Alligator mississippiensis: one gene and its partners. The protein of the gene in region 1 interacts with the protein of each later gene in a biochemical or structural test. Links are inferred from orthologs where the notes say so. Each region holds a gene or a part of one and is shown in the gene's direction. Other genes may lie near its edges.

Region 1 (7,027 bases):
ATAGAATCATAGAAAATTAGGGTTGGAAAGGGCCTTAATGGGTCATCTAGTTCAATCCACTGCTCAAAGCATGACCATCCCCAACTAGACCATTCCAGCCACAGCTTTGTCAAGCTAGGCTTTAAAAACCTCCAAGGATGAAGATTCCACCATCTTTCTAGGTAACCTGTTCCACTGCTTTACTACCCTCCTAGTGAGAAAGTTTTCCCTAATATCCAGTCTAAACTTCCCTTGCTGCAACTTGAAACCATTGTTCCTTGTTCTGTCATCTGCTGCCACTGAGAACAGTCTAGCTTCGTCCTCTTTGTAAGTACCCTTCAGGTAGTTAAAGGCTGCTATCAAGTTCTCTCCTCCCCCTGCCCCCAATCTTCTTTTCTGCAGATTAAATAAATCCAGTTCCCTGAGGCTCTTCTGACAAGTCATGTGACCCAGCCCCCTAACCATTTTCATTGCCCTCCACTGGACTCTCTCCAACTTGTCCACGTCCTTTCTGAAGTTTAGTGAAAAGAAAGAGTTTTATTTCACTTCTCTTTTTGGAAACCAAACTTCTACATGACACAGATTTCTTGTCCTTAATCATCCAAAAACATACATTATGTATATAGAAAACATAAGAATGTAAGAAATGCCATAGTGGGTTAGACCACAGATCCATCTAATTCAGTAGTCTCTTTCTCACCATGGCATGACTAGATGCTTCAGGGTAAGAGTATTTATGTGTTGAGGTATAGGTTGTAGCTAGGTTGGTCTAAGAGCATAGGCAAACAAGGCCCAAAACACACCGAATGGATCCAGGCCATGCCATGACAAGAAATCTAAAACCTGACAATATATCTCCACCACCCCCACAACAGAACCTTCAGCATTCCTGGATCTCACAGCTGTACCTCCTATATCTCATCCAATGCACCAAATGCCCTGATGGAAAATACATAGGAGAGACGAAACAACAACTGTGTACCAGAATGAACACACACTGGTAATCTATCAAAGACAAGAATACCCAATTACCTGTGGGGGCACATTTATCACAAGAAAAACCACTCTCTCTCCAGTCTCTCAGTTCTAATCCTCAAAGGGAATTTACAAAATACCTTTCACAGATGAGCCTACAAACTTCACTTCATCAACCTACTGGATCAAAAAATCATGGACTAAGTATAGACATTGGATTTATGACATATACCTGCCTAACATCTGACTCCCCGGGTACCTCTCCACTATTTACCAGCTACATTCACCCTCCCCACCCCCAGCCTCTCTCTCACCCATTGACTCTTCAACTTACATAGTCACTGACTGATTTTCTTGCATGTATACCAGCCCCTGGCTGCTTTACTATTCATTCCAACCAGGAAGACCACAGACCAATTGCAGATGCTTTCTCAGCCTGAAGAAGGGTGTTTGTGCTCAAAAGCTTAAAAAGAAAAATAATGTTTAATAAAAGACATCCAATTTACCCAAAGAACCTTGTCTGCCAGAGTATTTATGTGAAACCTATCCAGATGATCTATCCCCTGCCCCTCTCCTCTGTGGCTTCCAGGTTCAGATGTTTAGGAAATCCTGATTTTGAGGTTAGACTCAAAACTAACATATCTAATAGCAACTGATGGACCTCTGATTTTTTCCAGTTCCCTCTTGAACTGATTAAATTATCAGCCATTACAATACCTTGTGGCAATGAGTTCTAGGAGTTAATTACAGTCAAACTCTTAACAGGATAAGGTATTTCTAAAATTAACACTAACTGTGGATGAACTTTAAAAAATATACCTCAGTCTGTTAGGTGATATAATATTGCCAACATTAGAAATACCAAAATCAAATAAATCATATGATTTTTTCCTCAGTATATTTCATATTCAGTATGAAATCAAGTATATGTGCAACACTTCTAATGAGTCTATATATCTTTACAATCTAAATAATACACTTTACAATTTAAATACAATAAAGAGGATTGAATTAACCACTTTAAAAATAGACCCATTTCTGGAAAGAATGTAGCAGCCATTTAGTACTGCTCAGCAGCACTGCACAACATTTTGGGAAACAAAATGAAGAATACTGTCTCCAATTGAAACTTCCAGAGAAATTTTATTTCAAATTTGACAAGGATACTTGTTAAAAATCTACATCTTATGTGAAAAATGCTAGGAAATAATTAAAAATCCCAAGTTTCCACATCTTCTGTTTCATATTTTATCACAAATATGGTACCTTTAGCACTCTGTACTCCCTGTCTAATGCTTGCATTGCTTCATAACTACTCAGTACCGCCTACTGAATCACCAAAACCACTTCCTGCGGCAGTTTTACTTGTTAAGACTCTTAGCCAAGTACTGACCAAACCCAACCCTGCTTAGCTGCATAAAATCATAGCCTTAGGTGGTATGACTGCAAGCATAAACAGCGAACATCTGTCAACTTGGCTGAAAGTTAGGAATCTCATTGCCTTCTCCAGTGGTAGCTCCTACTTTCCAAATACTTCACAAAATATAGCCTCACATTCAGCTTTACCTTCACACAGGACAACAGATACTTCAGTAGGTTTCTTGCAAACATCTCCATTCCTTGCTTTGATCTATGCTGGGCTATGATGAAAAAGTGGTTGCATTGCATAAGCTTGGTTAAAGGTGAGGCTTATTTCCTCTGCTCTAAGCATTGGAGGTTGAATAGCTATTAAAATTCATAAATAACAAGTAGGGATCTGAAGAAGTATATACAAATTCCATGATTAGGTTACATCATGAATAAATGTACATGTTTCTAACTTTACCAATGCCTTTGTCAAGCCTAAGTACTGGTCCTAAAGTGAGGCTCTTAAGTAAAAGTTAAATGAGCCCCAATTATGCCTCTAGAAACCTCACCTTAGGTAAATACAGTCTAATTTTATGAGTGTTAAATATCTACAACCATTGGCTTCAGGAGAAGACAGAGGTACTTAGCACCTTTGAAAATCATGTAACAAACTGTATAAATTCTGGTCTGTGTTCCTGTTTGGAAGAAGGTAATACCAGGCAAATCCTGGTCTCTGCATATAGCTAGAATACATAGGCTTTGCTCAGAGCAGTTCTGTAAGTATTCTTGTCCCCACACTATCCAGGGGCTGCACTGTAGCTCCTACTGCAGGGTGCTATAGTAGCATGCCCAGCAGCTTTGTCCTCTCTACCACAGAAGGGTGATGACATCTAAGTAGTTCTGCACAGGGGTGGGTGCACTGCACACACATTGCACTGCCTCTAACCCTGGAAAATCTTTTTACAGAACCAGATGACATGTGGGCAGATACAGCCCTACAGAGAACATGAGTTTCAAACCTTCTGTGCAAGCTCTCTCAGCATCCTTTCTCTATATGCAAGGGAAGACTTGTTTCCAATAGGTAAGATAGTATCTATGGATGGGGAGAGGTCTTAAGAGGAGAGCAGAATTTGTTAATGTTTTGTTTTTGTCATGACAGTTGTGCTAAATATGTGGTGTTATTTAATTACAATAAACTTATGTTGTTATTGCTTTAAAATAGTTTTCTTCCCTGTTTATGCTAGTGAAAAGTAAATCTCCTAAAACAATGCATTTCGTAATGCAATGAAAGAGTTTACAACAATAGGATCTTTCTGGATTTGACATGGATATATCACTCCCTCATCCCTCAGCAAATTATTTTGCTGGAGGCTACATCATTCTATCAGTGGTGCGCTGGGAGTTGACGGAGGCGTGAATAATTCACCATCTACGAAGCCTAGCTGAACTGAGTTGAGCTGCAGCATGTTAGGCTGGCCTTTGATGCAGACTGGTTGGGCAGGTTCCTGTTCTACTGAGAAACCGGTTTGGCAGGCCTGTTATGCCAACAAATTCTGGTATGATTCCATGTTCTACAGAATGTAGAAACCTGCCCAGCCAGTTAAATGAAAGGCATATTAGGTTATCCATTGCACATTGTATATATCTTAGGTGCAGCAGATCTCATCTCAGCATTCTTCAGTGTGGTCCACAGTGAATTCCTCATCTCACTTATGCTTTAGGTTTATAGCTTGAGGGGAAGTCAGCAGTAAGTATTCACCTTCCCTGATCAAGAACAGAACCTTTCACAATTAAAACAAAAGGGTGAGTTTTAAAAAAAAAATTTTAAAGTAATTTAAGAAAATCTAACTCTGAAATTCAGTGTTACTGCACTTAAATTTGTAGTGAATGTTTTTTGTATGGATCTGTTTACTATATACCATTAGCTCCAGCTTCTGTGTTTCTAAGTGACATCATTTGTATAACTTCTGACACTTCTGTATGTAGGTAAACATCAGCTATTCCATCTTTATCTAATAACATTTAATGGAGAGAATTGTCTAATTAATTGTACAGTAGTAGGAGACAGGAATATCTGAATACTAATTAGGGTGTTGCCATTGACTCGGTGTATCAACTTGGGCAAGTCACTTAACTGTCTTAAGACAGAACCATCTCAGAGGGGTATTGTGATAAGGTAAAGTGTTATAAGGTACTAAATGTTGATACTATTATCTATTTCTTGTTAGACCAACACTTTTATTTTAAATTTTGCAGGTTTATGGAATAACTTACTTGGCAAAATTTGGTTTAGCACATGCATAACTGACTTAGTGGTGAGTGTTGAAAGCAAACTGTTTCTTAAAAATAAAGAACTATTATTAACTTTCCCTTACTTACCAAATAAAGGCTTCACAAACATGTTTTGTGTGTAATAAGTAATTCAGAGTAGCAATACAAATATAAATGAATCCAAATAATAAACCTACTCCTGACAGCTCTGAAATTTGTGAGGGTTTGGGCTCTGGATCGTTTACAAGTACAGCGTCAAATAAGGAAAAATAAATGGCATAGAAAACAAAAGCTCTGGAATCTGGTAACTGATTAACTACTGGAACTCAGGAAGTACTAGCTGAGCTGAACAGAAAGGAATGAAGACAGGTTTTGTCATGCCTGTTAGGACAAAATGATTCTTTAGCTGAAGTAAATGTGAATCTTCCTGTCATCTGTGTAACTAAACTTTTGAAAACCATCCTCTAACCACTTCCATGTCCCCAGGAAGCTTATTTTAGTGTGTCTTTAGATAAAATAATTACAGTTCACCTGTGTGATGTGATGTAATGAACAATTTTGTGCCTGATGAATTGTATTTTAGTGTTGCTTAAGGGAAATGAAGGTATGTATAGGAGTATGTGAGACTCAGGATAATAATCTTGTAACAGAACCCTTATCATGGTAAGTATTTACTATACGCCATTTACAGGTTGATGTAAAAATTTACATCTTGTTTATAACTCTTTAGTAGAATACCAGTAAATAGGCTTCCTGAGCACCTAAAAGCTCTGAATGGAAGGCTGAAATAACCTTCTCACTGGTAGCACTGAGTCTGCTTGTTAAAACTAGAGATTTTCTTCAAAGTGTGGGAAAAAGAGCAAGAAGAAAAAGATGTTTCTTCTGTATAGGCTGAGAATACTGTTTAGAAGAAATAGTTTAATTTTAGGGGTTAAAATTTCTGATTGCTGATGAAAATTATAAATCATTAAAGGAAGTGTTGCATATTTTAAAGAATATGTAATTTTCCCAAAATAGGGAACATGAATAACCAGTTAAACTGCTCGTTATCTGATGTACATTTTGTCAGGTGATAAGTTTAATTCATAAAAATATTTCCTGCATCTGTTTTGGTAGTAGCATATGTGTATTTGTGTATATCAAACATTTCTGATCCAGTGTTCTAGTTAATGGTAATTGAATAGCATTGTGTTCTAGTGATAAGAGAATGAGTTAGACATTCCGTTCATTACAGTCATGGTCTGCCTCTCCATCTCTTGGTGCATAAATTCCCTTGCTATAAAATTGTGGTGGTAATACTTTGCAGGGTTGTTGCAAGGCTTAATTAATTAATGTCTCCAGAGAATTTTGAGATCCTTAGATGAAACGCACCACAGCAGTACAGTAAAATAGTACCATTATTTGCATTCTTACTCTAGTAGTATATCAATGGTTGCTTGAAGCCCTGCTATTAAAAAAGACATTGTCAAGAAATGTAAGTGCTTAATTTGTTCTTATTCAAAAGCTACTTTGTACCTGGTAGAAGATGCCTTCTAAACTATAAAATGGTTCCACAGTAATTTGTTTTCCAAGTCTTGAGCCCTGGAACACAGCATATTTGTTAAATTTCAACTAAATAGTGAGCCATGTGAATTAATAGTTGCCCACGCTCCTAAAGTAACTGGTTTTGTGTTTAGTTTTGGCAGAAGTGTCTGTTTTTGACAGATATGCCATATATTACATATGGCTTTGACAGTTTTTCCTCTAAAATTCTCATCATTCACATAGAAAGCAACATGAGTTCTGGGCTGGTAAACTTTCATGATTTTCCATGGCTGAAATAAACACATTATGCCATTAGAACAGCTACACAGTACTTATACACTTAGGATTCCTCTCTGGATTATATTAATAAAACTCAGGCACATTGCTGCTTAGAGTCTTTGAACCAAGCATACTTGCTAACTATTCAAATTAAGCTCACAGGAAAAAATAGATAAATAGTATCAGGCTGATAAATGGAAAAGGATCAGAGTGAGAGAGACTATTTTGGAGGTAACTATGGCTGCACTAGTCTGGACGTGGCAATGTGGTATGTGGCGCTGCATACATGTCTGCAGTGCTATATACCACACGTTCAGTTGTTCTCTGTGTCACAAGGGAGCAGCACGGAGGGATTTTTTGACCCCTGGACACCAGGGATCAAAAAAACCTGCAGAGAAAAGACATGGAGTGATACGCGGTGGCAGCGTGGGTTGGCCAAAGTGGAGCCTGGCCAGCCAGAGCTGCATTCTGCTGCTGGCCAGGCTCTGCACGTCAGGATCACCACTGATGCAGCCCTTGGAGGCCACCAGAACCCTAAGTAAGGCTGCTGGGGCCAGCCCAGTGCTGGCCTCAGCCTACCCTATCCTACCAGGGGTAACTTGACATGTGCCAGCACGTGCATGACAGATGTTTCCTGGGGCCTAGCAGCAGC
Region 2 (7,501 bases), on another chromosome or scaffold:
TTTTCCTGAGGATAGAGGTGAGACTAACCAATCTGTAGTTACCCAGATTCTCCTTCCTCCCCTTCTTGAAAACAGGGACCACATTAGCCCTTTTCTAGTCCTTTGGGACCTGACCTGAGCACCTTGAGTGCTCAAACAGCCATGCCAGTGGCTCTGCTATGACACCAGCCAATTCCTTCAGCACCCTTGGATGAAGTTCATCCAGGCCTGCTGACTTAAAAACATCCAGCCCCTCCAAGTGTCCCTTCACTCAGTCAGCGCCAACAGTTGGTGGGCTGGTCTCCCTTTTGTGCCTGTCTATGATCCAATTGGGAGATTTGTCCCGATCCATGTTCAGGAATACAACAGAAAAAAACCTCATTGAAGAGCTCAGCCTTGTCCCCATCTGCACTAATGGCCCTAGTTTGTCCTGTAGGGGTCCGATGCTACCCTGTGCCTTCTTTTTACTCCCTATATACTTGAAGAAAGACTTTTTACTGTCTTTAATTTTTGTTGCCAGTCTAAGTTCCATTTCTGGTTTGGCCTGTCTGACTGCCTCCCTGCAAGTGCGGGCCAAGTAGGTATGCTCTGCCTTGGTAGCTACTCCTTTTCCTTTCAGTGCATTCAAATTGAACAGGGCTCTTTAGGGAAAAGATTCTTATTGACACAGTCAGGTACACAACTAATATTCTGGGTTCTGTCTACCTATTAACTTAAAAAAAAATCCTCTTATGGACCTTACCCTAGGACATTGCTACAAAACGTGGTATAAAATACAAGCTTTTATCACTAGGTATGATTAACTGTACATGATTTAATTAGTTACTGATATGCTAAAAAATAGTTGTAAAATTCTACATTTTCATTAGAAATGCATGACTCATGATTTTTTCCTCCTGTTTTTCCCTTTAACCCATAAATACTTTGCATGACTTCACAGGGCACAAAAGGACTCTGCAAATGTGACAGAAAAATAATGAACTCCCAACACTTGAAATTACTGTCACTTTCCCTTAAATGAAAGTTCTGCCCAGATAGAAACTTAATTAAGAATCTTGCTAGTGCTTAGAATCAAGGATGAGTCATGCAACTGCACATACCAGAGGAACCTTGCTAATTATATCATTGCACTGAAGTGCTGAGAAAAGACTGAACAGCATGTATCTGATACAGAAGCAAGTACAGACAGCCTCTAGAGTCTAGTTGCAGCAACTGATGGAAAACTAGTCTAAGTAAAACACCTTCATTGTGCTGGCAAGGTAATTTTCCAGTTATACTTCATGACTAACTGGTAGTTCTGATGGGTCACGCTGGACATGGGGTTTTCCACAACCCTTAATCGAAATGATTCAATCTTTAACCTCTGCATGTGGAAGGCTATGAGGACATCAATGCCTGATGAACATCGAATTGACATAAATAAGCATACTCAAGTAGGGCACTTTCCCCACTACAAGGAAATATCTTCCTACTTTTTTGCTGCATTTCGTTAACATTGAAAGAAAAGCTGTGAGATTTTTCTTCCAAAAGCAAAGGTTCTCCACCTGTGTAATGCTGTTAAGACAGAAAAGCCTTCAACCACATTAAATTTGATTTTCAAACTTCACTTAGCTTGGACAATGAAAGCAGCCTAATCAATTCCACTTGCTCAGTCTCATACACTAACACACCACCACAGTTTTCACATGTGGTGCAAACCCTACAGGAAAGGGGGGGAAACCAACCCAAGCCACCAACCCCAGCAATTTTTATCGCCAACTCTACAGGAGACCTTGGCCATTCGCTGGGGATATGTTCTGGAGATCCCCGCAAATGGCGAAATCCATGAATACTGACGAGGCTCCCTGTCGGACCCCACAGCCACCCCCTGCTCCCCCCCACATTGTTCACGGGGCTCCCCCGCAGTGCCTGGGGACCAACCCCTTCCCCCCGAGCACTGCCGTGGCTGCTCTGCACAGCAGCAGTGGCAGAAAAGATGCCACCATCGCCACCTCCCTCCCTGTCCCCGGGGCTCCCCCACAGCACCTGGAGACCGACCCCTTCTCCGCCCAAGTGCCATCACGGCTGACTCCAGGAGAGAACATGCCACTGCTACCACCACCACCACTACCTCCTCCTTCCAAACCCTTGGCGCTTGTTCTCTGCCCGCCTCCCAGCTCTGCCCTCCCCCGTGAATATTTGAATAGTGAAGTTCGCGAATAGCGAGGGTTTCCTGTATATAGATGTTATGAAACTAACTTTGAAACAATATGGAGATGCAGGCCCATGTCCTGCAAGGGTATCAAACTCATGGGTTTAGACCCAAAGTTTATCTTTGCCCACGATTACAACACAACTATACTTACTTGCTCTGGGTTGCTCCCTCAACCAACATATTCTTCTTCATTCACACATACTGGTAGTTTTTGCAATATCTACCGCTGCGCACTGCTGTTGAATAGTTTGTTCCTACAAACTGTTCAACTTAAGCCTCCAAAGACACAGATAAAAACGACAACAATGCACACTGCCAATGTCCTTTACCAATGGCCTCGAATGTTCCATCCCTTCTGAATGCTCATAACAGCTGACATTATGAAGCCATTTGCATTCTGCTATACTGCACTGAATACTTTTTTCCCAACCTGCCAGAAACAACAGCTATTGAGCACAAGCCCTGTTGGTTCTCAGCTGATGTACTACACAACCAACAAGCCTGCAGAATGGGAAGATTTTAAGGTGGCTCTTCTTTCTCTAACCCAGTGGTTCTCATCCAGGGTGTTGCACTGTGGCTGCAGCCAGGTAAGACTACCCTGGTGCACACTCCTGCTGCTTTCTGATCAGCCTAAAGTAGGCAGGAGCTAGCTCATCTTAGCCTTTCCTGGGCAGGCCCCTCCTACACTCCCCCAAGAGACAGGGGTTTACAGGACAGTTCCACTAAAGTACCCGTTTCTGGCAGGAGCAGGGGAAGGGGCAGGTGAACCAGGAAGGGCTACACAGCATGAGGTGGCTCCTGCCTGCTTTAGGCTGATCAAAAGTCCTACTGCATGAGGAATATGTATACATGCCACAGCTCTTCCTGGGCTGGCTGATAAGCAGGTGCCTGACAGTTTTATCACAGGCAGCAATACCCAGTCAAGTCAAGAAACACTGAAGTGAAGTGAGGAAGCACCAACAGTTCTCAATAGGAGATGCTGCCAATTCATAGAAGTGGTGGAGGGGGAGCCCTGATCCTGAAAAGATTGAGAGCCACTGCTCTAAGCTGTACTTCATCAACGACTGGCCTGAAATTAGTGTAGCTGCATTGGTCAAATTAGACAGCGGTAAGCATGTGTTTGCAGCTGCTGAAATAATGAGATCAGGGCTTTAACTGATGAACATAGCAATCATGACACAATCTAGAAATATCAGCAAAAGTCCATTTCTGAAAATAAATCAGGAGCATTTAATCTTTCTAAGCGCTGCTATTAAGTGCTTGTAGGTCTTCACCAGAAGTTGTAGGAAAATAGTAGTTTATAGGTCTGAGCACACTCAGAAGTCACTACAGGGTCCTTTTGGCCCACTGTCATGAAAGACAAGGCTTCCTTTGAAAGAATATTATGCAGCACAGAGCACATGGGGCTGGTTCAGCAACAGAGCTCATTGGCTCATAAGCTGAATCCAGCGTTGGGGCCTTATGTTTGGCACCCCGGTATAAACCAAATGCTGACCAATATCATTACAGTTTTCTTTAAATGCAGACTGGGTGATATTAGTGTCCATGGTTCGTGTGTGCTTGCTGGTCGGACAGAGTCCGAAAGAAGGAAAAGGATCAAAATCCCAGCCGGCATCCTACTTCCCCTGCAGAAAGACCCGCAACTTCTGTGGACCGATCTGTGGCTCGAGGACTGGACTGAAGTCACCTCAAGACCCATCAATGAGCCACGGTAGAGATCATCCTTGAAAGGAGAGACAATTGACAGCGACGGCGATCGGGAAGAACGAGGCGCAGTCCAGCTTCCTCCTTACGTTTAGACCAAAAAAAAAATCAAACTAGCCAGAGAATACTGACTTTCTCGTGCTTTCACCCGAACTCTACAAACGCATCAGATAAAGTCAACAATCTCCACTCACTGCCTCCCGGGACGGGGGAGGGAGCCGGGCAGGGCCAAAGGAAGAGGGCAAATCCTGCGTCCGTGCCGGGGCCCTGGCTGGATGCCCCATCCGGCCTGAATGGGCGGGAGGCGGGCCGTGGAGCGGGCGGGCGGGAGGCGGACGCCCGGATGAGGTGCGCGGCTGCGCAGGGCTCCAGGCACCCGGGGCCAGGCACTGCTGCCCGCACGCCCGGCGCCGCCTCCCGCCGGCCACGTTGGTCCGGGGCGGCGCCAGGGAGGTCCCCGCGCACGTCAGTGCCCGCCCCGCCCCGCCCCGGCCGCCCGCCCGCGGCGCCGCCCCCGCTCCCCGCTCCCCGCGCGGCGCGGCCTGGCCGGGGCATGCTCAGTAGCCGGCGGGAGCCGCGGGCGCGGGGGAGGCGGCGCTGACGCGGCGGCCCCCTCGTCTCTCCCGCGCCGGGCCGGTGCTGCGGGAGGCCGAGCGCCGCCCGGGGCCCGACCCCCGACCCGGGGTGGCGCTGCGTGGCGCGCCCGCTGCCCGCACGTCCATGGTTTGCTCGGACCGCGATGAGCCGCCCGTCCTCCGCCGGACCCAGCGCTAGCAAAGCCTGCGGCAAGCAGCAGCAGCACGCGCCGTCCCCGGCTGCTGCCCCCGCCGCCGCCGCCACCATCTCGGCCGCCGGCCCCGGCTCGTCTGCGGTGCCCGCCGCGGCCGCGGTGATTGCAGGGCCCGGAGGCGGCGGCGGCGGCGGGGGGCCGGTGTCGCCTCAGCACCACGAGCTGACTTCGCTGTTCGAGTGCCCCGTGTGCTTCGACTATGTGCTGCCCCCCATCCTGCAGTGCCAGGCGGGGCACCTGGTGTGCAACCAATGCCGACAGAAACTGAGCTGCTGCCCCACGTGCAGGGGGTCCCTGACCCCGAGCATCAGGAACCTGGCCATGGAGAAAGTGGCCTCGGCGGTTCTCTTCCCTTGCAAGGTAAGAGCGCCCGGCCCGCGCCTCCCGCTGCAGCACCGCGCCCCAAGGGGCCCCGGCTCCTTGCCCTGCCCTGCCCTGCCCGCCCCGCCCGGCCTCGCCGTGGTTGCAGACTTGCCGAGGCGCGAGCAAGGAGTTTCACTTCCCCTTTCCAGGCTGTAGTGAGCGGAAACATCCTCCACCCCGTCCCAGCCGGGTCACCGGGGGCTCCTGGACCTTGGCCAGGCGCGTGTGTGGCTTCTGTGCAAATACCAGCCCCCCTCGGTCCGCGGAAGCCAAGAAGCTCCTCATTTCTCCTGGAGCGAGTGGGTCCCAAGGACAACACAGTGGGGTGCTTCCCCCCTCCCACCTGGGCAGCAGAGTGCGGCCTGTTGCGGGGAGCACAGTTCCTCCCCGGGGAGAAGGGGTAGGGAGCAGGAAAAGAAACAGGCCGAAGAAGCAGGAACGTGCATCTCCTTGAGCAGGTCTCAAAAGATCTCCCTGCTTTGCCTCTTTGCAGACATGTTCACAGCTTAGTACAGCAGTCTTGCCCTAAGCCTGTTTCACAGCTGTGTCACAAGCTGACATTATGTCTAATTCTGTAATTCAGGCATTTAAGAGGGAGTTGACTGTTGAATCATTGCACGAGCACTGGATTTCTAAAAATGATATTGCATAAGTGGGTAGAGCCCCATTTCATGGTCTGACCTATTCTACAGCATTGTTTTTTGGGCTGGGCCTTGTTTTTGTAGGGCAAATTCCATTCTCTAAGTAACTGTGAAGGAGGAGCTGTGGTTTACCCAACTTGGTATTTTAGCTTGGTCACTAAAGAGGTTGTGAAGATTTTAAAAATATCGCACTCTTACTGACCACTTTTGGCCTATTTAACATTATTATATAGAGAGAAGTGTCATGATTAGTTTACTTACATCTGTGCATCTAGTCAGTTTCACTCCCCCCCCCTTCTAATTCCTGTGGGTTCTTCACACAGGAAAAAGGGGGCCAGAAAAACGCACTGAAAAAGGAAGTGTAACAGAGCTGCAGTTTGAGGGGTACTTGCTTCTTAAACTGACCTTATTTCATGGTATCCTGTAAAGTAAAGGTTTAATCCCTGCTCCTGCCATGGCAAACCACAAAGCATATTTACAAAGTAAGGTTAAACTTAAGTTCAAGGAAAGATAAAACTCTTAAGAGATTTTTTTTTTTTTTATTTCAGTAAGAGAGCATATTGTAAAGATCTATTTAAAAGATCTCTTTAGTGAAATATGCATTCATGACATATCCAACAGATTCTAGCTACACCTATCAGAGCTTTGATTTTCCAGACAAGTCCAGGTCCTACAGTTACTGTGCTAGCATGGGCTTCATGTCAAGTGAGATTCCCAGGGAACTAGCACACATGTCACTTATGTATCTACTTTCAGGATTGGGACAGGAGATCACATAACAAAAGCAACAGACTTTGTGCCATTGTGAGGAGGATTTGATAGCCTGCCCCAGAGGCTGGACTAAAGTTGAGTGAAAAACGTATTTTCCTTCTGGCTCAGAAAAAGTGACAGGAGGCCCTACTGCCCTCTTCATTTCCACCATCTGTGCCTTTGTGCACGTGTCCCAGGCTTTCCAGCTAGCAGCATTTTTGCTCGTTCTGTTACTTTCCAGGCTGAGGCTTGTCCTTGAAATTCCAGCCTTTTTTGTATTTTCAGAATAGTGGCTTTCATGCCCTACCTATATCAATGTTTGTACTTTAAGTTGTAAGGTCACATGACACTGCCACAGCCAGCAACAAAACTCCAGCAGTAACATCTGCCTGTCGTGCATTACAGTTGAAAGTGTTCTTTGTTTTAAGGATCTGTTTTAATTGCTTTATTCTAACATAACTTGGCACTGTAGTTCCAACAAGGATTTGACATTTTACGGTGTATAAATATGCACATGGGTGCATGTACATGCATGCCCCTATAATTGCGTCTCATTTTCTAAAGCTTGTTCACCACAAACAGGACATTTCCTAAATTTGGAATAAAATCTAACAAGTCTAAACAAAACGTATTTCCTGTATCAACTCTGTCCTCGTTCTCCTCACCCCCAAGGCCTGGGTGCTCTTTTAGGCAAGGACCTGGGAAGCAAGGTACATAAATAGGATTCCTTCCTTCAGCATCAGCAGGAAGTCAACCATACGTCTCCAAGTCACATTTCAGCTCTGTGCACAGCTTGGTGTAGAACCCAAGGTGGAATCGCTGATGACAGGGTCTGGACAGAGTATCTGCAGAACATTAAGATTTTATAGCATAAAAAAAAAAAAATTGCTTTTTGAGCACAAAATATTTTTCAGGGCTGAGGTCCTGTGAGTGACTTGGAAAAAAGACTGCTAGCCATTAAGCCGGATCTTATCAGCTAGGAAAGGAATGATGCAGAACAAGGTGTGTGACACTTCAACCAGTTGCATTTTTCAGCCATCCAAAAGGTATAACAGATGTTACTATTGCGGAATTTTTGTA
Region 3 (6,991 bases), on another chromosome or scaffold:
TACCTCCCAGATATAAACAGCTTGTTTTACATACTCATATCATCAGGGGCAGGGAGAATGCAGATGCAGCTACTGCAGCTCCAACTCCCACCAGAACCTGGGGTCAGAGTCACAGCTGCAGCCACTGCCCACCTTTCCCTCCCCTGCTGCCTCTGTCCCCTACCACTGCCTTCCCTGCTCCCACCCATTACGGCCACTTACCTTCTGGTTCCAGCCCAGAACAAGGAGCAGGTAATACTGGTAATACTTTTAGGAGCTGGTAACCCCAATTAAGAGATGCCAGAAAACAATGCCAGGGTCTTAACTGTACAGCAGTTAATCTGGCCTGGAGGCTTAACAGTACCATAGGGTCTGCCTGCATAGATCTGCTTGAGCTTTCAAGACTTCTGTTGATGAACAGCAGCTGCCACAAAGCCACCATGTGCCACTGCAGATCTGAGTGTCTCCAATACAGCAGCTGTGCCACCAGCGTGCACCCTGGGAAGGCACTTGCAGCTGAATGGGACTGTGGCAGCCAGCTGAATATACATGAGTGTCTTCTCCTGCTTTCAGCCACGTGCTGGGCAGTGACAGGTGTTTGGCCCTGCTTGGCACAGGTGGACTTATTTTGCCAGGAGAGTGGAGGGTCCTGGCACTGCAGAGAGGCTATGAGAGTGCATGTCCTTAAGGGTTTCTCACACAGAGCTGTAGACCTTCAAGCGACATTTGTAGTATGGATTAGGCCTAAGATATGAGACTGGAAAGTGAAAATCTTCTGCTACACCACTTAGCACCTCTGCTGCTTTATTTAACCTAGAATCCTGATCTTACGCTCCATACTGAGGAAATCCAGGGAAGGTTTCACTTACAATCTGAGTGGGTTTTTTGTAGTCCAAAAAATGCGATCCTGCAAATGTTCTTTATCTCCTTGCTTACTACAACATTTGCAGTTTTAGGCAGACAAGGTTTCTTGGGTGAATTTGATATCTTTTATTAGACCAACCCAAATGGTTGGAGAATAGTTATTAAGCAAGCTTTCGGGTTCAAAAACCCTTCGTCAGGCTAAGGATGCTGCAGCAGTTGCTGCATGCTCTTCCTGGATGGAATGACTGGGCCAAGCACCTGTCACTGCCCAGCACCTGGCTGAAAGCAGGAGAAGACACTCTTGTATATTCAGCTGGCTGCCACAGTCCCATTCAGCTGCAAGTGCCTTCCCAGGGTGCACGCTGGTGGCACAGCTGCTGTATTGGAGACACTCAGATCTGCAGTGGCACATGGTGGCTTTGTGGCAGCTGCTGTTCATCAACAGAAGTCTTGAAAGCTCAAGCAGATCTATGCAGGCAGACCCTATGGCACTGTTAAGCCTCCAGGCCAGATTAACTGCTGTACAGTTAAGACCCTGGCATTGTTACACGGCTACAACCTAAACCTTTGCAATTTTATGCATTTGTACAATCCCATTGAAATAAAAGGGGACACTCATGTACATACATGTGTTTTCAGGTACAGGCTTGTGTGTGAAATTCCAATTGAAATAAATAGAGGAGATATAGGTAGTGTTATGAGACAGGCAAAACATTAAGCTGATGGATTTAACTGCAGTCCTTCATATAAGATTAATTGAATTGTGGTTGGCTAAGCTCCTTTATGAAACAATAGTAGCTGGTACTGTCAACGTGTGTCACTGCAAAACAAAGTTACATGTGCGTCTACTAAATGACTTAGGAGAGGGGCACAGCTTGGTACTGCTTTTCGAAAAACGCATACAAGAAAGGGGAGTAGTAGAAACATCTCAGACAAATGCACAGAAGGAGCAGAATGCCAGACAGGCCTGAGAGGAAAGTCTAGAGAGGAGTTATGGGCTGAGTGTTGGGTGAAAATGGCTTGGAGAAATGAGCAAAGATTCTTCCTGTGGTCATGGAAACAGGGTTTTGAGCCTTCTTTATTAACAAACAGGATTATAGCAAAGATATTGAGCTAATTAGTTTTCCTCTTATGAATTATAACCTGCAGGGCCCTGAACTGCATGGATTAGAAGGGTTACCTATAGGTAGGGAATACACAGTCAGTCCCTACAATGGAGACCTGATGATAGAAGTTATTCCAAAACTGATGTGTGATACCTGTCTTATCAGTGCTCATAGTCACCTAGTCTCATAAACACTAATGGCCACTCCCCTTTCCCAAAGCAAGTGTTGGATTTTTTTTTTACACATAGGGATGGATATTCCTGATACTCTGTTTTTAAAGAAACATATTCAAATGTAAAAAGGACAATCATATGTTATAAGAAAAGATAATGCTATAAATAAGATGTAAATGATCCTGCATTATGTTAATTTTGCACATGGACATGAAAAATATTTCCTAATACCTAACTTTTAATCAATCTGTTGTAGACATTATATTCTATAAATTATCTTACCACTGGGAAATCCACAATGAAAACCTGTTATTGGGACACACTGAGGATAATGGGAATATGATGTAATACTTTAGTATGGTTGCCATACAAAAACATTGAAGGTAGGGCAGAACTCCATTCTAAATGGTTAAAGAAGCCTCCTAAATCTATTCAGCTGTATAGTTCAATCAATGAAGTGAGTGTAGCATGAAACTCTGCAGACTTATGTTATGTTTTTGTCAAATCCTGGTATAGATTTAGAAGCGATTTAGTATCTGTCAAGTTTTATCAAATTTCTGGAAGGGCACACAGACTGTTTTTTTTTACGCTAAGGATGAATACAGTGTATATTTCAGTATAGCAATATCCTTATTAGACATACCTCCTTTGTTGTTGGTGACCTGCATTTGGGAATGCTGAGGTTGCTCATGTAAATTGATGGGACTATGCACTGCCACTGCTTACATCTGGGGGCACCATCCAGGATGGGTTAAAATAAGCAGCTATATATATATCAATCACTACATGTATATATATCTATATATATATATAGATATATATCTCTATATACCTATTGGCTAACCACCTATATATACACATATAGATATATATGAATACTGATTGATACATATCAATCATTGTACTCCTATATATCTCTGTGTGTGTATAGGTGGATAGCCTATAGCTATCTAGCTATATACCTATATATAGATATAAATCACTGTATTCATATATATCTGTATTATATATAGAGAGATATATAGATGGAAAGATATCGATATATATAGAGATATCTGCTTATAAACTCAAGCTTTGCCCAGCTGCCTTTTGGTACTGACTTGGCATTTGAAATATATAAGCACACTCATTCATATCTATAAACTCCTGAACTTTGTTCAGCTGAATTTTTAACACAGATTCACATATATATATACACACACACACACACACACACACACACACACGTGCTTATAAACTCTGCTCACACCTATATATGAATGTCCGTGTGATATACAAATGCGCGTGCATGTGTATGTCTATTTCAAAAGACCAGATCAGTTCCAAAACTCGGGTGCACAAAGTTCAAAAGTTTATAAAGATTTATATATATATTGCTTGGGGGATATCTATATCTATCCATCTTCCATTTCTCTCTCTCTATATAGCTATATCTCTATATATAGGGAGATCTCCCTCTCTCCATATATATCTATTTATCTATATATTCCCGCAAGAACCAGATCAGTTCCAAAACTCAGCCGAGCAAAGCTCGAGTGAAGCTCATAAGGTTGCACAACGGAGTAAGCCCGTCAGTCTGGGGGTTCAGCTGCTCCCCCCACGCAGGCAGGTCCCCGGCCCCCGGGCAGCTGCCAGACTGTTCGCAGACCAGGCCTGGGCTGCGGGTGTTCAGCGCAGACCCACTGACAGGCAGGATCCACGCGGCCCCGGAGGGGCGGGGCGTCGCGCGAGCCCCTGACGGCTGCTGGGGAAGGGGGTCTGCGGCGTGAGGCGGGAGGGGGCGGGCGCCGGAAGTGACGCGTGAGCGGAGCGGGTGCGCGCGGCTGGCGGAAGATGGCGGCTGAGGCTGCGCTGGGCAGGGAACGCGGCCGGCAGCCGTGAGCGCGGCCCGGCGTGGGGGGGGGGAGAAAAGGAGGGGAGGGGCAGGGCGGCTTCCCCCGCGCCCGCCGGCTGTATGTTCCAGCGGGGCCCCGCGGGGCCAGCCCGCGCCGCAGCGCCGCCGCCCACGGGTAGGTGCCGCGTCCCTCCTACCCCGCCCCGAGCCGCGCCGCAGCCTCCCGCCCTGCAGCTGCCGGGCCCGTGTCGCCCGGGAGGGCCGCCGCTTCTCACGTGCTCGGGGCTGCCTTAACTGCGGGTGGGGCCGGGGAAGGGGCTGAGGACGGGAGGAGTCTGCCCGTCTTAAGCTCTTGAGTTCTGACATGAGCGGCCCCCAGGGCTGTGTAGTTTTTTGACTGTACTGCTCAATTTCCCGCAGTTAGTGTGAGCCGATCAACTCCGCTTTGATACCAGCCGCTCCGCAACCCGTTTTCCTGGAGGGTTGGATGACGTTTCATTCTTCCAGGGTGCGGTACTGATGGGTCAGGAGTATTTGCCTTGAAAATGCGTGCTTGTGTTGAAAACATCCCCCTTAGTCTATTGATTCACCTGAGTTACTCCTGATGACTGTATTGGTTGCCCCAGTGTTTCTCAACCTGTGGGTCACGACTCAAAAGTGAGTTGCAAGAATGTGAAAGGGCTGTGAACAAACTTGTTAAAAATGGGTTCTCCTTTAAAGGAGGAAAAGTGGGGAGCCATGGGTTTTCTTTGCAGGCTGGCAGAGTTTCAGCCTGCAAGGGGCTGCTTGCGGGCCACCCCCCCATGCACCGCTTGCCCCACAACCTGGGCAGGTTGGGAGTGAGGGGTGCCGGCAGGGCCAGTGGGCTGTATTACACTTAAACTATTTACTGGCTGGGGACTGGCCATTGATGTTTACAAGGTGGTCCCGGTACAAAAAAGGTTGAGGGACCACTGCATTATGGGATACTCTGATGCTGTGTGTTGTAACTAAATCTTTAAAGGAAGGTGGTTGTTCTAGTATGTACTATAGAAGCTATGTCACATGAAATAGGGAAAAATCGCATTATTACCGCAGTCCGTTGGTTTAAAGTTTGAGAACGGCTGCCATGGCTCTGCTGGAGTCAGGGGTGTGTGACTCTCGCTTGGATAGATGCAACAAAGCCATCTTTATATCAGTAGCTTGGTACCAGCAGCTGTGGCACCAAAGAGGTCTGTCCTGTCCTCCGTTGTTGAGGCATCTCCCCAATTTACTGGGCAGGGTCCAGAGAATGTGTTGACCCCGTGCTGCCAATGGTTTAATATCTGAGCTAGTTTAAAGTAGGGATATAAATACTGGTTAATGAAGTATGTGTTTAAACTCCTGGAATGTTATCAGTTAAACAGGTAACCCATAACCGGTATCTCCTGGGGACCTGCCCCGCCTGTGCTCCCATATTTACTGGGTGGCAGCAGCAGACAAGGGGCTTTTCCAGCCTTTCCAGGGACCTGGCTGGAGCCTATGCCGGCTGTGGTAGGAGGCTGGGAGGCTACAAGTGGTTGCATGGGGGTCTGCAGGGCCCTGATTTGTCTCCTTACCAGTGGCAGGAGTATGCGTGCCTTGGGGTGGATGGCAGAAAGAGCCAGGGGTACTCTCTCCTGCCTGCCCTGCCACCTTCAGGGTCACCCTGCGACTTTCTCCACTGGACTGCTCCCCACTCCACACTAAATGCTAACCTGCGAATATGGTTAAATGTTTAACCCATGGGTCGGCAAACCCAGCACGTGCCAGAACATGGCATGCAAGGCCATTTTGCTCTCATGCCACAGCTGGCTTGGACTTTGAGCAGCTACCACCAGACTCCATGGCAGGCAGCAGCCAACATCCCAGAGGATACAAACTGTTGCACTAGGCTCCGGCTGGGCTCCATGGTGGCAGCATCTATAGACATGTCCTGGGGCAGATGGCGGGGGTTGCACTATGTGAGGCCCTCTTCCAGCTGTGTGCTCCCAGGCGAAGGTGCAGGTGTTGCTGCCACAGAACCTGGCTGGAGCTCCCTGCTGCCTGCCACATCTAGCCTATCTCTAGGTAGCTGCAGCAGGTGGCAGGCAGGCAGGCTGCAAACAGGTGCACCAGGGTCCGGAGCCCTGGCACCGGCTCTGTGGTGATGTCAGCTGCACACGCACCTTGGGGCGCATGGTGGGGGAGGGCCTGGGGCAGCACAATCCCAGCCCTTCCCCTGCAGTCCGTCTGGAGGCATGCATGTGCCCACCACTAGCAATGAGGATAGGGCCCCTTGCGCCATCTGCCTCTGGCATGCCATGTTGGGGCCTGGGTCCAGTTGGGTTGTTTTGGCACTGCAGTCAAAAATGTTGCTAACCCCTGGTTTAACCATTTACATCTCTAGTTTAAAGCTAGCTTGGATGTGTTTATGTGAGCTGTAGTCGCATGTTGATTGCAGCTAAGACATAATCATAATGATATTAAATTGAAATGTTGTAAGACCTCTCCAAAACCTGTTATTTTAGTTAATGAAATTATATCTGTCTCTATCTTATCCAGTTTTGAGTTATGGGAAATTCTAACGGGTTCCGTATCTGCATTTCCTGCCTCTGGAAGTATATGTTAAAATGGCTGCCAAGCATATGTTTGTCAGAACTCTTCTTTTGATAATTATTGCATATGGTTTTAGTGGTCCATTCACACAGCAAATTGTAAATTGCTGTGTGTCATAATATAAAATGATGCTGCCCTGATTCTTAGAATCTGCTTTCTCTTGCCTGACGGGGGCAATGTGTAGAGGGTGCATGGGAGTGCACATGCATCCCCTGAGAGCACTGGTCCATCCCCTGTCAGGCCATGCTCTCTGTGTAGCAGGGGGGGAGGCAGGAACACCAGTGCCCCTTCTGTGAGCATCGAGTGGGGAGCGAGGCTGCCAGCAAAAGCAGCCGCGCCACTTCTGGAAGTGGCCGATGGAGTTCCGGAAGTGGCGTGGCCACTTTTATTGAGAGTGAAATCAGTTCCCCCACTGGACAGCAGGATTGGCTGCCGGGGGA

What was found.
Region 2: the proteins of RBBP8 (region 1) and SIAH2 form a complex in vitro, tested with the Homo sapiens proteins (2 studies listed by BioGRID). The link is inferred for Alligator mississippiensis from reciprocal best matches to the Homo sapiens genes RBBP8 and SIAH2.
Region 3: the proteins of RBBP8 (region 1) and KLHL15 form a complex in vitro, tested with the Homo sapiens proteins (2 studies listed by BioGRID, with this or other methods). The link is inferred for Alligator mississippiensis from reciprocal best matches to the Homo sapiens genes RBBP8 and KLHL15.

What each region holds. Positions count from the first base shown.
Region 1 is NC_081826.1:87,334,158-87,341,184, reverse strand, and holds the start of RBBP8 (DNA endonuclease RBBP8), read left to right. Parts: upstream 1-3,950; 5' UTR 3,951-4,104; intron 4,105-4,557; 5' UTR 4,558-4,616; intron 4,617-7,027. UniProt on the Homo sapiens protein: Endonuclease that cooperates with the MRE11-RAD50-NBN (MRN) complex in DNA-end resection, the first step of double-strand break (DSB) repair through the homologous recombination (HR) pathway.
Region 2 is NC_081830.1:62,023,478-62,030,978, reverse strand, and holds the start of SIAH2 (E3 ubiquitin-protein ligase SIAH2), read left to right. Parts: upstream 1-4,417; 5' UTR 4,418-4,616; coding exon 4,617-5,027; intron 5,028-7,501. UniProt on the Homo sapiens protein: E3 ubiquitin-protein ligase that mediates ubiquitination and subsequent proteasomal degradation of target proteins.
Region 3 is NC_081824.1:315,931,443-315,938,433, forward strand, and holds the start of KLHL15 (kelch-like protein 15), read left to right. Parts: upstream 1-3,964; 5' UTR 3,965-4,131; intron 4,132-6,991. UniProt on the Homo sapiens protein: Substrate-specific adapter for CUL3 E3 ubiquitin-protein ligase complex.